Regions from separate parts of the Mus musculus genome. Here all the other regions are reported to be linked to region 2. Evidence: microRNA targets listed by miRTarBase, many of them from high-throughput screens and not tested one by one. Region 2 holds a microRNA gene; each other region holds the end of a gene's coding sequence.

Region 1 (4,173 bases), not on the chromosome of region 2:
GCCATGTGGAAGGTTAGCCTACTCTCTAATAAACTGCTCCTAAGGAAGTTCTTACATGCCCATTGTGGGAAAGAAGTAAGTACCCCTGACCATAAGGACTTTTTTTTAATGGAAATGTCTAGGACATGTAAGCACCGTGGCACTGACAAAATTCATTATACCTGAGTACAGAAGTCACCAGGAATCCCAGAGAGAAGGGAGGCTGGCTGTAGCTTTAGCCAGAGGGGGACTGGGCAGAGCAGGCACTCATTTCCTCTGCAGAGTTTGGCTCTTAGACCTGCTTATGTATAAAAAAGAAGTCAGCGCTCACTTTTTGTATTTAAATATTAAAAGAACTCGAACTGAAAGTGTTATTGCTGTGTTTGTGGTAGTATTTCACACCTAGGTTGTTTTAGAAAGCCAGGAACACTGCCTGCCAAATTTCCTCTGGCTTCAGCCAGCATCTGTTTCAACCTCATTTCATAGACCAGTCTGACCTCAAAAAGCTTTCTCTTCTTTTCCTTGTGTGTGTGGTATGTTTTTTGTTTGTTTTATTTTTTTTTTTTTTTCAAGACTGTTTCTTTGTGTAGCCTTGGCTATCCTGGAACTTAATTTGTAGACTAGAGCTGGCTGAGAACTCAGACCTGCCTACCTCTGCTTTCCAGGTGCTAGGATTAAGGGCAGGAGTCACCAATTCCTGTTTAGTGAAGTTTCCAAAAAGGAAAGAGAACATTTATTATTGAACATAGTAGTGATTATTGCCTCAAATTCAAGACTCCCTCCACAGAAAGTGCAGGCCAGACTCTGGATATGCAGACTATACTGTATTTATAACCTGTTTTCTGTATGTTTGCCTTATAGTCTTGAGAAAGAGGAGGTTTGCAAATAGAGCTTGTTATCATATTCTTGTTTTTATTGGTGGGTAGAATCTCTCCAGAGCCCAGGTTAGCTTTCAACTTGGTCCTCCTGAGTGCTGAGGGATCATGGGCATGCACACCTGGTAAAGACATATTATTATTTTTGGTTTTTCAAGGCAGGGTTTCTCTGTATAGCCCTGGAACTCTCTGTAGACCAGGCTGGCCTTGAACTCAGAAATCTGCCTGCCTCTCCCTCCCAGGTGCTGGGATTAAAGGCATGCGTTGTCACTGTCCGGCTTATTTATTTTAAGTAACAGCAGAGTCTCTGATAATAGATCCAACTGTAGCTCTTCTTTTTGAGCCCTGCAGTCTTTCTACTCAATACTGGCCTTTTGTTTTTCTCTAGAAATGGGGTCTATGTTGACCATACTGACTTGAAACTCAGAATTGCCTGCCTCTGAGAAACCTCAATCCAATCTCCTACCTGAAAAACCACCTCCTGAGAATTGGGGCAGTGCTGTAGAACCACATCTAGCTTGGCTTTGATTTATTGTGCAGGTTTTCTAAGCTCTTCACGTGATTTAGGAGGTTGTGGTATTCCTATGGGTTAAGGAATCTGCACAAAGCCTGCTGACGTCATATGCTCTCCAGGCCTGTAGCTCCAGTGTACCCAGCCTTTCCTCCACTGTAATCCAGACGGATCCTCCTGACACAGCCTCCCCACTGCAAGCACAGCAGTGTGGTCGGGGCACCTCTGAACTAATCTCACAAAGTGAGTACTTTCTCTTGGTTTTTCAGCTAGGAAATCTGATTACTGTGTCTCAGAGTGGTGACATCCCTTCTATGACAAAATCCTGCCAAAGGTTTTTACATAATCAGACAAGTAGACTTGTGTTCAGCTTTTCATTTTTAATATTTGGTTAAACAAAATACATCTTTGTAAACAAACCCAGCACAAGGCCAACAGAAAAGGGAATAAAGCAAGAAAAACAAAGCCTAGGGCTGCCCCTTGCTGGGCGTCAGGGTCAGGCTGCCCCTTCCTTCACAGGAGTGGGGCTTTGCCCTGGGGCATTAACATGGGTCCCTGTTCCTAAGCACCAGAATTGGATATGAACAGAACCAGCCCTGAAATGCTTAAGCGTCTTTGTACATCCCACTAGCTCATGGACTCCACGTGTGTGTGGCTCGTTTGCAGTGCCATTTGCACAGGCCCAAGCAGATCTGTAGGGAAGAGTCTCCTCTTCCCAAGAAATGGCTTACTATCACCGACAGTGCCAATGGACCCAAGGTCCTGCTTGTGACAATCAGCAAGGTCGGCTGTAACTTCTGGCTGGTAGTGATTGGAATGTCATTGTGCAGGGGCAGAGTTCCCCATGGTGCCAAGCAGATCTGGTGTAGAAAATGGTGCAGATGACCATGGCTGAGCGCAGTGCAGTAGCCACTCGAGGCCTCTGCCACTTGAATAAAAAACGGCCTTGTTGGATTGAAGATACATGTGCAGAAAAAGTGCTGGTGTAAACATGCACTCCAGTCACAGTGGGGAGACAGCCCCCCTTCACCCCAACAAGCTTGCTCAGGATTAACATGCAAGCCCCAGGTAGCTCTGCTGCCAAGGGAGAAGAAGCAGGCCAGTGGGGCAGCTCTCAGACCTGCAGAGACCATGGATCGGTAAGGGCTGGCCAGGTCACCTGCCTTGAAGGCCACCACAAACACATTGGTATGGGGGTATGGTAATTATTTCCCCTCATTTTCCAAAATTACAAGAAAAAAATGATCTAGAACTAGTTGAAGTGGGGCAAGCCAACCCTGTTTGTCAAAGAAACTACACAGACGCCAAACTCAGAGGCTCTAGCTTGATGCATACAGCCAACCTGAGATTGCTGCCACAGCTCTGGAGCTCAGGACGTGCCTACCGGGCTCAAACCCTGAAGCTTACCTTCATGGCAGTTCCTCGCCCAACTCTGTCCCAAACTATGGAATTTTAGGTCAGTGTAGATGTGTTTGATTTTGCTAAAAATGGGCCAACTATGAGTACTCTCCCTGTTCATTGTCTTGTCCCAAAGCCTCCCCAGTCAATGTAGTGAAATGATAGGGACACGATTAGAGTGAAGAGCCACCAGTGACTACCCTACTCTGGCTTTACCCACGTGGTATTAGGCATATCTTTCACCACTGTCTTGCTAGAATGATGTGCAATTCACCTATTTTGGAATAGCAGAGCCTCTTATAAAACCCCAAGGCTGGCTGGGGTTTAAAGGGACCAAGAAGAGGCCTAATGGACTGCAGGTGACATGCAGTGTGACTGCTGGAGTCTTGACAGTTTCTTGGCTCTGCATGTACTGTGTCCTCAGACCCCATGGTGCCACAGGAGAGAAAAGGGGCGGCCTTTCCGTAAGCCTGAAGCATCAGTGACACTACCAGCAGAGCCTGTATCAAGACCTTATGGAAAGGGAGAAATAACCCAGCCCCCTCAAAGGACGCCCTTCTTGGCTCCCTCTCTGAAATAGCAAAGGGTTCAATGGCTTGCCCTAAGTGTTCAGAGCTCCTACCTTCTTCCCCCAGGCACAGACTGCTGGGTGGCTCTGTGACAGTCCACACATCTGTCCTATTGCACTGGCAAATCTGAAGGGAAAACCCAATGAGATGTTTGGGGAAGTGGACTGTAGAGGCCACAGCACATCAAAGAGGTCTGGAGGGTTGAGACAAAGAGGGTCAAACAACTGTCACACGTCGGCCCTCCAGCTCTGATGGGCTTCCACTTCTTCCGGTACAACCAGTAGGAGTTCACAGTTTTTACCTCGCAAATGGTATTTTAGAAATTTCCTGTGGAAAAGGGAATAGGCAAGAAATGAGATGCCAGTGAGTTGCAGATTGCAGTCCCGGGACCACCCACTCACCAGAATCCTCCCCATCAGAGGTCCACCGGTCTCTTCCTCTCAAGTAGATTATGGGTGTCTCCCACCACCACCAAGCTACACCCATGACGATCTTAAAACTCAAAGGGTGACTGGTTACCCTTCCATTCCTGCTAGAATCTGTCTCAGTTCCTGCACATTCTCATATGTTCTTGTCACTAGTGGCTGCCGGCATAAGGACAAGAACACTGCACATTCTAGTGGTTACTAAGCTTCACACAAACAAAGCAGCAGCAAACTTGGGTGTACAGCACTTGCCAAGCAGGCCTCACAATCTGACTGAGATCCTAGGAACCCACAGTGAAGGGGAGGACCAGCCCTGGGAACTGTCCTCTGACCTCCACACATGCCCAGGAGCACACAGGCACCTGAACACATACAGTAATAAAAGGAAAAACTTCAGTCATAGGGCAGGGTGTGGA
Region 2 (4,163 bases):
AACTGTGAATTATCTCTCTAGCCCCAAGTATAATATGGTGTTATTATCTCCCTAGGTTGGTTTTTTTCATTACCTGCACCGAGGTGATCGATCCCTTCTTGGTGGTGGTGATCCTTTCCTGCATTGTGCCCATGTCGGTGGCTAGGGTGGGCTGGTAGCCTACAGCAGAAGGGATTCTGCCCAATAAGGCAGACACCTAAAAGACAGAAGTAAAGAATAATGGTCTTAGGTGTCTACATCTTTCTTCTAATATGCCCAACTGGCTCAACAAACCAGGCCTCGAGGCTTCCCCCCTACCTCTGAGCCAGCCTGGGTAAAGCGGAAGATGTTGTCAATAAACAGCAGGACATCTTGGCCCTCCTGGTCTCTGAAGTATTCAGCAACGGTCAAACCAGTCAGAGCTACCCGGGCTCGAGCGCCAGGTGGTTCGTTCATCTGTCCATATACCAACGCTACCTGTAAAACATACACAAGTCAGAAAAGACAGCAGAGTAGTAAGGAAGCCACAGAGAAATCCAAGATTCCCAATCAGAGAGAAGAGAGGGGAAGAGAGAGAGAGACACCACTAATGGGATCTTCCACTGGATGCCAATGTTTCTGTTTGGAACCTTCATGAAATTGAGAACACTGGAAATAATTTCTAAACTAAAAGTAAGACTGAGATATGTGAGTGGCTTCCATTCTACACCTTTTAAATCAGCTTTCAAATTGGATTACTTACTCATCAAAAAGTCTAGAAATATCTCACACCAGAGAAGTGTACACTGGTATTCTGGAAAATGGTGGTGGGAAGACAACTATTTTGTTTACAGAACCCGGGGCTCATCACATCAAACATAACACATTAGTTTTCTGAATGGAGCTCACCTTGGAAGTGGCATCTTTTAGATTGATAACACCAGATTCAATCATTTCATGGTATAAATCATTGCCCTCACGGGTCCTCTCACCAACACCAGCAAATACAGAGTAACCACCATGGGCTTTGGCGACATTGTTGATTAGCTCCATGATCAGTACTGTCTTTCCAACGCCAGCACCTCCAAAGAGTCCTAGTTTAAGAAGAAATATTTCAGATCTCTGCATTCCCAAATTAAACAGCCTTCAAAAATGTTCAGTTCTGTCCATTTTCCCCTTCTCAGGAACGGCATCTGGCTTCAGCAAATTCAGAAGAACGAAAGTCAGAAGCTAATCATCACTGAAGGCTCAAGCACTCTCAAAAGAAAAAAGGGTCTCCATGCTTTACTGTATTTGGAAAACACGGACCAAAAACCAACGTACCGATTTTCCCACCCTTGGCGTATGGGGCCAGCAGATCCACAACCTTTATCCCAGTCACCAGAATCTCCTGCTCAACACTCATCTCTATGAACTCAGGAGCCTCAGCATGAATAGGAGCAAATCTGTAAGGTTCAGGGAGGAAAGGGTCAGAACCAGGCACCATGCTCAAAAGCCACTGGCCACCACAAACAGTCAAGTCTAATCTTGTTCAAGTTAAGCTGTCACAGAACATCATCTCTCTGCAATAAAAAATATTGTCTCGCCGGGCGTGGTGGCGCACGCCTTTGATCCCAGCACTTGGGAGGCAGAGGCGGGCAGATTTCTGAGTTCGAGGCCAGCCTGGTCTACAGAGTGAGCTCCAGGACAGCCAGGGCTATACAGAGAAACCCTGTCTCGAAAAACCAAAAAAAAAAAGTCTCAAGAACAAATAATCCTCTTTTTTGATATTTTCCTTTTACTGAACTTAATATAACAAAGTTTCTTTATATAACAATAAGAAAATAAAAACCTGTAAATTTTAGAGAATCCATAATGTAACACAGCTTTAAAAAAAGTAACAGGGGGTTCTATGTAGCAAGTTTTCAACAATCCAAACTTCTGTATCTTCATTTTCAATAACTGAATACAACAGAAATGGAAGTAGTACTGTAGGAAAATGTTGCTTTACTACCAGTTATTACCCCATGTGTACAACTGCAAGAAAAGGTTCCCATGTTCACAAATGCAGTGAGAGAAACTTACTGTTTGGTTTTGATAGGACCTCTCTCATCAATAGGTTCTCCAATGACATTCATGATTCTGCCCAAGGTCTCAGGACCAACAGGAATTTTGATTGGTGCCCCTGAATCCAGTACTTTCTGGCCTCTAACCAAGCCTTCAGTGCCATCCATAGCAATAGTTCTGACCGTGCTCTCCCCTGTCAATCAGCATTAACACGTTATAAGCACCAAAACCTAACAGTATGTAATGAAGGGTGATCAAAAGCAAACAGGCCTCCCCTCTCAGCACCTGAGTGTGGCTTCAGCAAACTCAGAAGAACGAAAGTCATTTGGTAAAGTCATCACAGAATGGAGATGGCACGATCTCGTGTTATTTAAGCCTAACAAGCTCTTTCCCACCTCTAAAACGTCCTACTTACCCAAATGCTGGGCCACCTCCAAAACCAGTCTGCTGTCCCTGCCTTGCACTTCCAGGGCATTTAGGATGGGTGGTAATCCCTCATCGAACTGGACGTCCACCACAGCGCCGATGACTGCCACGATTCGCCCGGTGGCAGTGCCTGCCTTCGGGGCCGCAGACGCCTGCGCCGCATAGTCTCTGGCTAGCAGACAAAAAGGTATTGGAAGGCGTTGGTGTTAGGACAGCTTAAGGTCACCCGAATCCCAGATTTATCCCCCGAGGGAAGGTTAGCTGAGCCCAGACTAAGTCTCCTGCAAGATAGGAGGAGGCATGGAGAAGGGCACGCTGCAATCGGGAACCCACCCGCACTGTTTTCCCGACCTCGTGCACAGAACCGCCATTATTCTCGAGTTTGGTATCCCCCTCAAAACCTCAAGGTCGAGGCAGCTGCCGGCCACTCTAGCCTCACAAAATGGGACGCTGCTGGTTATATCAACGCTCCCACGGGCGACTGTCCTTGCACTCCTCGGCTGGACAGTAGTCCGCTGCCCGGGAATCCTTATGGAGAACGGATCCGATAGGCCCAAGCTCAAGGTCACGGGGAGAAGAACCGAACTAGCTCCTCCAGGAAGGCGCTTACCAGGATGAACCCCGGCGGGAGCAGCTCGCAGTAGAAGCTGCGCCTGTGGCAGAGCCGCCGAAGGGCTGAGTCCCCGCAAGGCCCCGGAGGCCGAGGCCGAGGCCACACGCCCCACAAGACTCAACATGGCGGAATCCGGGTGGAGACTGAGCGCCGAAGCGGTCCTCTCCGCCGGTCCTGCAGCTGGGGCGGGGCAACCTCCGCCGTAGGCACAGTAATTGGGTGATTTTGCTGTTCGTCATCACCACTAACGCTTCTATAGGGTAAAAAAACTCGGAGCTTATCAGCTATTGGTCTAAACTGGTGCCAATCTGAAAATTCTCTTTTTTAATTGGAGGAGCCGCCCTCTAAGCCTCGAAACCTAATTGGCCCATGGGAACGTCAGTAGGAGAGGTTTTTGGCGGAACTACGTTGAAATAAAGGGGCGGGGTTCCGTTGAACCTGTGCACTAGGCCGTCTTTGACTGTCCTTGGACCTTGAGTTAGGTGACAGCCGCTAAGGTTGAGTGGCGGCGTCCTGAAAGTCAGGAACCTTCTGTGGCTCCAAAACGTGGGGTTTCCTCGACAGTAGTGAGGGTGGAAGTTTCCAGGCGGCCCAGCAGGTCCGAAACCTGGAGGCTCTTTATCATATAAATCCGTGCAACGAAAGAAACTAAAGCGACCCATCCTTCGACAGACGTTCTGCATCGAGGAGACAAGGTTATTTATTTATAACACTCGAGGGGTAATTTAGAGTCACCTACTTATGTAAAGAATTGCCCTAAGCAGACGTACTGACAGAACCCTGTAATTCCAGAACTTGACAGGTGAAGGCTCAAGATTCCAGGAGCCAACTGAAGCCCCTTGAGACCCTGTCTCAAACACAAAATGAAAGGTCAGAAGTAATAGACCTTTGCTGTGATATGTGTGTGCAGAAATCCGTAAAGTAAAGTAGAAAGGAAGAATACGCTAAGCGAGCCTTTGCCTGAAACCACATTTCTTCGGTTTGGTTGTAGATAAGGCAAAAAAAAAAAAAAAAAAAAAAAAAACGAAATCCGACCCTATAGGGAGATGATGCCAGGTCTCAAAGGACTTTTGAATGAAAGTGGAGGCTGGCCAGAAGTGTGTGTTGCTCTAGGATGGAA
Region 3 (4,173 bases), not on the chromosome of region 2:
CTGCCGCGTCGTTGCTGGGAATTGAACTGAGGATCTCTAGAAGAGCAGCCAGTGCTCTTAACCGCTGAGCCATCTATTTTGGCCCAAAGTCTGGGTTCTTAATACATTGCTGTCTAATGAGAGAATGAATAAGCAGACAAATCATCCATGCAGCTGCTCAAAATGTGGGCCTGTCACTCATTCTCCATGATCACAGCAGCTGATGCTTCCTGAGGTATGACCTAATGCCCGTCACTGCTCCCAGCTGGCCGTGTGCACTAGCTCACAGCAAGCCTACCGTCACCCTGAGAGCAGACTTGACCGTGAGCAATAGTTCCCACTCTGTGATCTCTCGAGAATCGAAGTCACGAAGTGACCTTGCCAGGATTTGAACCCAGGTGGTGCAGATCTGCCCAGAGGCCAGGAGCAGGGGAAGGACCATTTGCTAGCCGGTCCCAAACAAGACTGGGAAGCCAGCTCTAGCGAGGCAGCCATCTTGTCTCGATTGCTAATCTGTAAAGATGCTAAAGCCCTCACTGCTTGTGCAAAGGGGTGAGGAGCTGCTGTGTTCTCTTATTGGCTTAGTTCATGCTTGGTGGAGGCAAAACTCTAAAATCACTACCCCATACATATATATATACATACATACATACATACATACATACATACATACATACATACATACACACATACACACACACATACACACATACACACACACACACACATACATACATACTACATACATGCACATATACATGTATGTACATGTACATGTACATATACATGTATGTACACAAATACTTCGAGTGGATGCAGCTCGTGAGATTTCTCAAATTCTATTTTCTGCAAATTTGATGGCACATACCTGTAACCCCAGGACCTTTGAGACTGAGGCTGGAGGACCACAAGTTTAAATCAACACTAGGCTCTAGAACGACATCTTCCCAAAGACAGAGAATAGGGTCAACCCATTCGTAGAGTGCTTGCCTCAATGCATGAAGGCTTGGCTTCCATCCCCAGCGCTAGATAAATCGGGCATGGTGGCACACCGCTGTAGTATCAGCACTCCAAAAATAGAGGCAAGAGAGTCACAGTCGTAACCTGCCTAGGCTAAAGACCTGGTCACACACACACACACACACACACACACACACACACACACACACACACACTGATGTTGGGGACGGGGAAGGTAAGATGGCAGGTAAGGGCATTTCCCACCAAGCCTGATAATCTTTCAATATCTTGTGCCCCCATGATGGAGAGAACCAACTCCCAAAAGTTTTCTGACCTCTACATGGACACAATGGCAAACATGTGGCTACATGCGGGTGCACATACACACATAAACCTGGTGTGGTGGCACAGGTTCCAGGTCTGGGGAGGTGGAAACTGGGAGTCCTGGTACTCAGTGACCAACTATCCTGGCCTACTTGCTAAGTTCTATCTAGGTCAATAAGAGACTTTGTCCCCGGCCGAGCGGTGGCAGTGCACACCTTTAATCCCAGCACTCAGGAGGCAGAGGCAGGTGGTTTTCTGAGTTCGAGGCCAGCCTGGTCTACAAAGTGAGTTCCAGAACAGCCAGAGCTATACAGAGAAACCCTGTCTCAAAAAAACAACAACAACCAAAAAAAAAAGAGAGAGAGAGAGAGAGAGAGAGAGAGAGAGACTTTGTCCCCAAATCAAGGTGAATGGCATCTGAGAAATGACACTCACAGTTGTCTTCTGGCCTGTGCATGTCGCTGTGCACCCCCAGGTGCATACGCACAAAATTTTTTTTTCATCCCTGAGATCTGGGTCCTCTCCCTGGCAAGACGTCCACATCCCACCAGAGGTTGATTTTCCTTAGGTCCCTATCTCTCTCAGCTGGCCTAGCCTCTCCAACCGCACTGCCCCTAGAAAATTGCTGGCCGTTGTACCGGTGCCACCGGCCAGCCGTCCTGCTGCCTTCAGGCCTTTGGTCTCCAGCTTCTCTTTTCCCATTTACCCTAAGTCGTTCTGACACCTAGCTCCGCAGAGCCTACGTTCCCATCTCCGGCTGCCATTCAGGGTGTGCCAGCAGCCTGTCAGTAGTCTCTCCACTGCATGTCTCCCCACTGTCTCCGTGAATTATCTTTCCACAAGCTAAGAAGCTCCCTAGAGAAAGACAGCTGCTGGCAAGACAGCTCTCAGACCCGAGGCACGGGGCTTCAGAGGTACAGCGCTGGGGACCTCTAGGAGCAAATTCATTGCTGGTGATGCCGGTGACTGCCACGTTGAAGTGACATCGGGAGACCTGTGAGCTGCTGCGGGTCAAGTTGACACCCACAGCCTAAATGGAGAGCACTCTGAAGAGAAAAGGAGCGAGTTCCACTGCAAGCTGCTGAATGAATGCTCATGCCAAACTTGGCATGGATGCTGGCCCAGATTGTCTGGGGTTGATTCTTGGTGGCATTTAACAAGATGGCCCTGGAGAGATGACTAAGTTCTCTGCACCAAGCAAAAAAAAAAAAAAGGACAGGATCCAAATGGCTGGGTAAGATGATCTATTCTGTGCGAACTTTCTAGCGCATGGGTACAACCTTATATTCATTTGTAATCGTTGATTTGGGGGTTCATCTGTTTCATCTTTTTCTGGGGCTTGGCCCAGGCTGGTGACAAGTACCAAGGCTCATGCTGGGTCACTGAGAGCAAAGAGATGGCGAGAGAGATCCCAAGGGATCAAGTGTCCAGATCTAGTTGGCTAGGTCCAGCCACGTGTAAGCAAGGCAGAAATGCAGACACAAACCCAAGAGAGGAGGTGACCCGCACTGCCCAGACCAAACCCAGCCTCCATCCCTGGGCCCACAACCAGCTTGGATTCAGAGAGCCAGTCCACGAGGAAGAGAATAGAGGCATTGAAGGTATTTATTCATGAAAACACTCGGGTCCAGGGGAGATGGCTACTAGTTACAAGCTCTAAGGCTCTCGTCGAACAGCCACGGGCCGGGGCACCCCCAGGGAGGTGAGCTGGCATCCCCTGGACACAAACAATGGTACCAGCATATCAGGGGACAGAGGGCCCTTCCTTGCCACCTGCCCTGCCCTAGGGTTAAAGTGCAGCTGGGAAGGAGGAGTGGCTAGACTAGGGAGCTAGAGAAAGCTGAGGTCAGTGGGGGCCCTATGCAGGGGCCTCCTGTCCACTATGGTCCCAGGTGATGGAGATGGACCATCACCTCTTTCAGAAAGACCGGCCCCAAAGACAGCAGGGCTGGCTGCAGCTACTTCCCTAAAGGGTCCAGAACACGGGGAGCAGAGAGCTAAGATCTCCAGAGGGAGAGATGGGAGGGATCTTCTTTCTTCTTCAGTGACACTCTGGCACTTGAGTCAGCAGGGTCCTGCCCCAGCCTGACTCCTAAGCCACTCCATTGAAGGGGTTACTTCCCTGGCACTGGGGAGTGAGGGAGGTCGTTAGGGAAACCTATGGGACTGGAGCTTCCGACCTCTGCAAGCGGTCTTCCCACATAGGTCCTTCAGCAAAGGACTTGATTCCCACTCTGGACCCATCACTGGGGATCCTGCCCCCATCAGTTGTGTGGGTCCTGGCCTGGGCCTGCCCTGTTTGAGGATCTCACTCATCCTCAGCAGCTCAGCCCATTTCCTCTCTATCCCGGGTGGGGGTGGGGGGCTCATCTCTCTAGAAGGCCGAAAGGAAAGACCACACTTCACCTTCCAAAAGAAAAGTCCTGCGGATGTCTGTCTGCTTCCTCCCCCATCTTGCATATATTAAATTGTGCAGCTTGGCTCCAGCCCCTCCCTTCAGATCTCCATGACAACCAGGCAGCATTCCAAGTCCATCCAGTGCCAAAGGGGGAGGGGGGCTTCTGCCTATCCCCTCCCTCTTCCCTGGAGGGTGGGACCGACATTCCACAGGGAACAAGAGGGGAGGAAGAGTTGGGGGCCCTCAGTCCTCAGCCCCCTCTTCCTCAACCTGAGGGGCTCCAGGAGGCTCTTCGGGCTCAGGGGTCTGGCCCCCAGGGTGGGGATGGGCATGGGAGTGTGGTCCAGGCTGGGAGCCCGGGCTGTCTTCACCCTGCACATAGACGTTCAGGCCCTCGTGACTGGGCTCCTTGCCGCAAGCCTGGCAGCTGCAGTGTACAATCTTCTCTACCAGCTTGTCCACCCTGGGCACCTCCTCGTGGCCAGGGCACTCCAAGGTCACCTGGGAGGAGC

Evidence for each region. The annotated mature microRNA mmu-miR-677-5p reads UUCAGUGAUGAUUAGCUUCUGA and lies in region 2 at 1,182-1,203, opposite strand. An mRNA with a match to its seed (bases 2 to 7 or 8) in the 3' UTR can be bound and repressed. Matches are read on the target gene's strand: a 7mer-m8 pairs with bases 2 to 8, a 7mer-A1 pairs with bases 2 to 7 and ends in A, and an 8mer does both.
Region 1: the mRNA of Josd1 is a reported target of mmu-miR-677-5p. Seed matches in the 3' UTR shown: 7mer-m8 at 3,242-3,248.
Region 3: the mRNA of Nbl1 is a reported target of mmu-miR-677-5p. Seed matches in the 3' UTR shown: 8mer at 3,304-3,311.

What each region holds. Positions count from the first base shown.
Region 1 is chr15:79,672,521-79,676,693 of GRCm38, forward strand. It overlaps Josd1 (Josephin domain containing 1), which reads right to left. Exons shown (of 4, transcript NM_028792.3): 4 at 1,730-3,659. The coding sequence ends at 3,560. It overlaps Tomm22 (translocase of outer mitochondrial membrane 22), which reads left to right. Exons shown (of 4, transcript NM_172609.3): 4 at 1-342. Among named protein-coding and RNA genes, the nearest start is that of Tomm22, 3.7 kb to the left of the region's middle.
Region 2 is chr10:128,082,331-128,086,493 of GRCm38, reverse strand. Mir677 (microRNA 677) reads right to left here and starts at 1,208; the gene lies at 1,131-1,208. Atp5b (ATP synthase, H+ transporting mitochondrial F1 complex, beta subunit) reads right to left here and starts at 3,187. Exons shown (of 10, transcript NM_016774.3): 1 at 3,041-3,187; 2 at 2,420-2,602; 3 at 2,023-2,197; 4 at 1,282-1,403; 5 at 868-1,052; 6 at 298-456; 7 at 74-196. The coding sequence starts at 3,167. Snord59a (a small nucleolar RNA gene) reads right to left here and starts at 2,352; the gene lies at 2,278-2,352.
Region 3 is chr4:139,079,441-139,083,613 of GRCm38, forward strand. It overlaps Nbl1 (NBL1, DAN family BMP antagonist), which reads right to left. Exons shown (of 4, transcript NM_008675.2): 4 at 2,852-4,162. The coding sequence ends at 3,905. Among named protein-coding and RNA genes, the nearest start is that of Htr6, 6.0 kb to the left of the region's middle.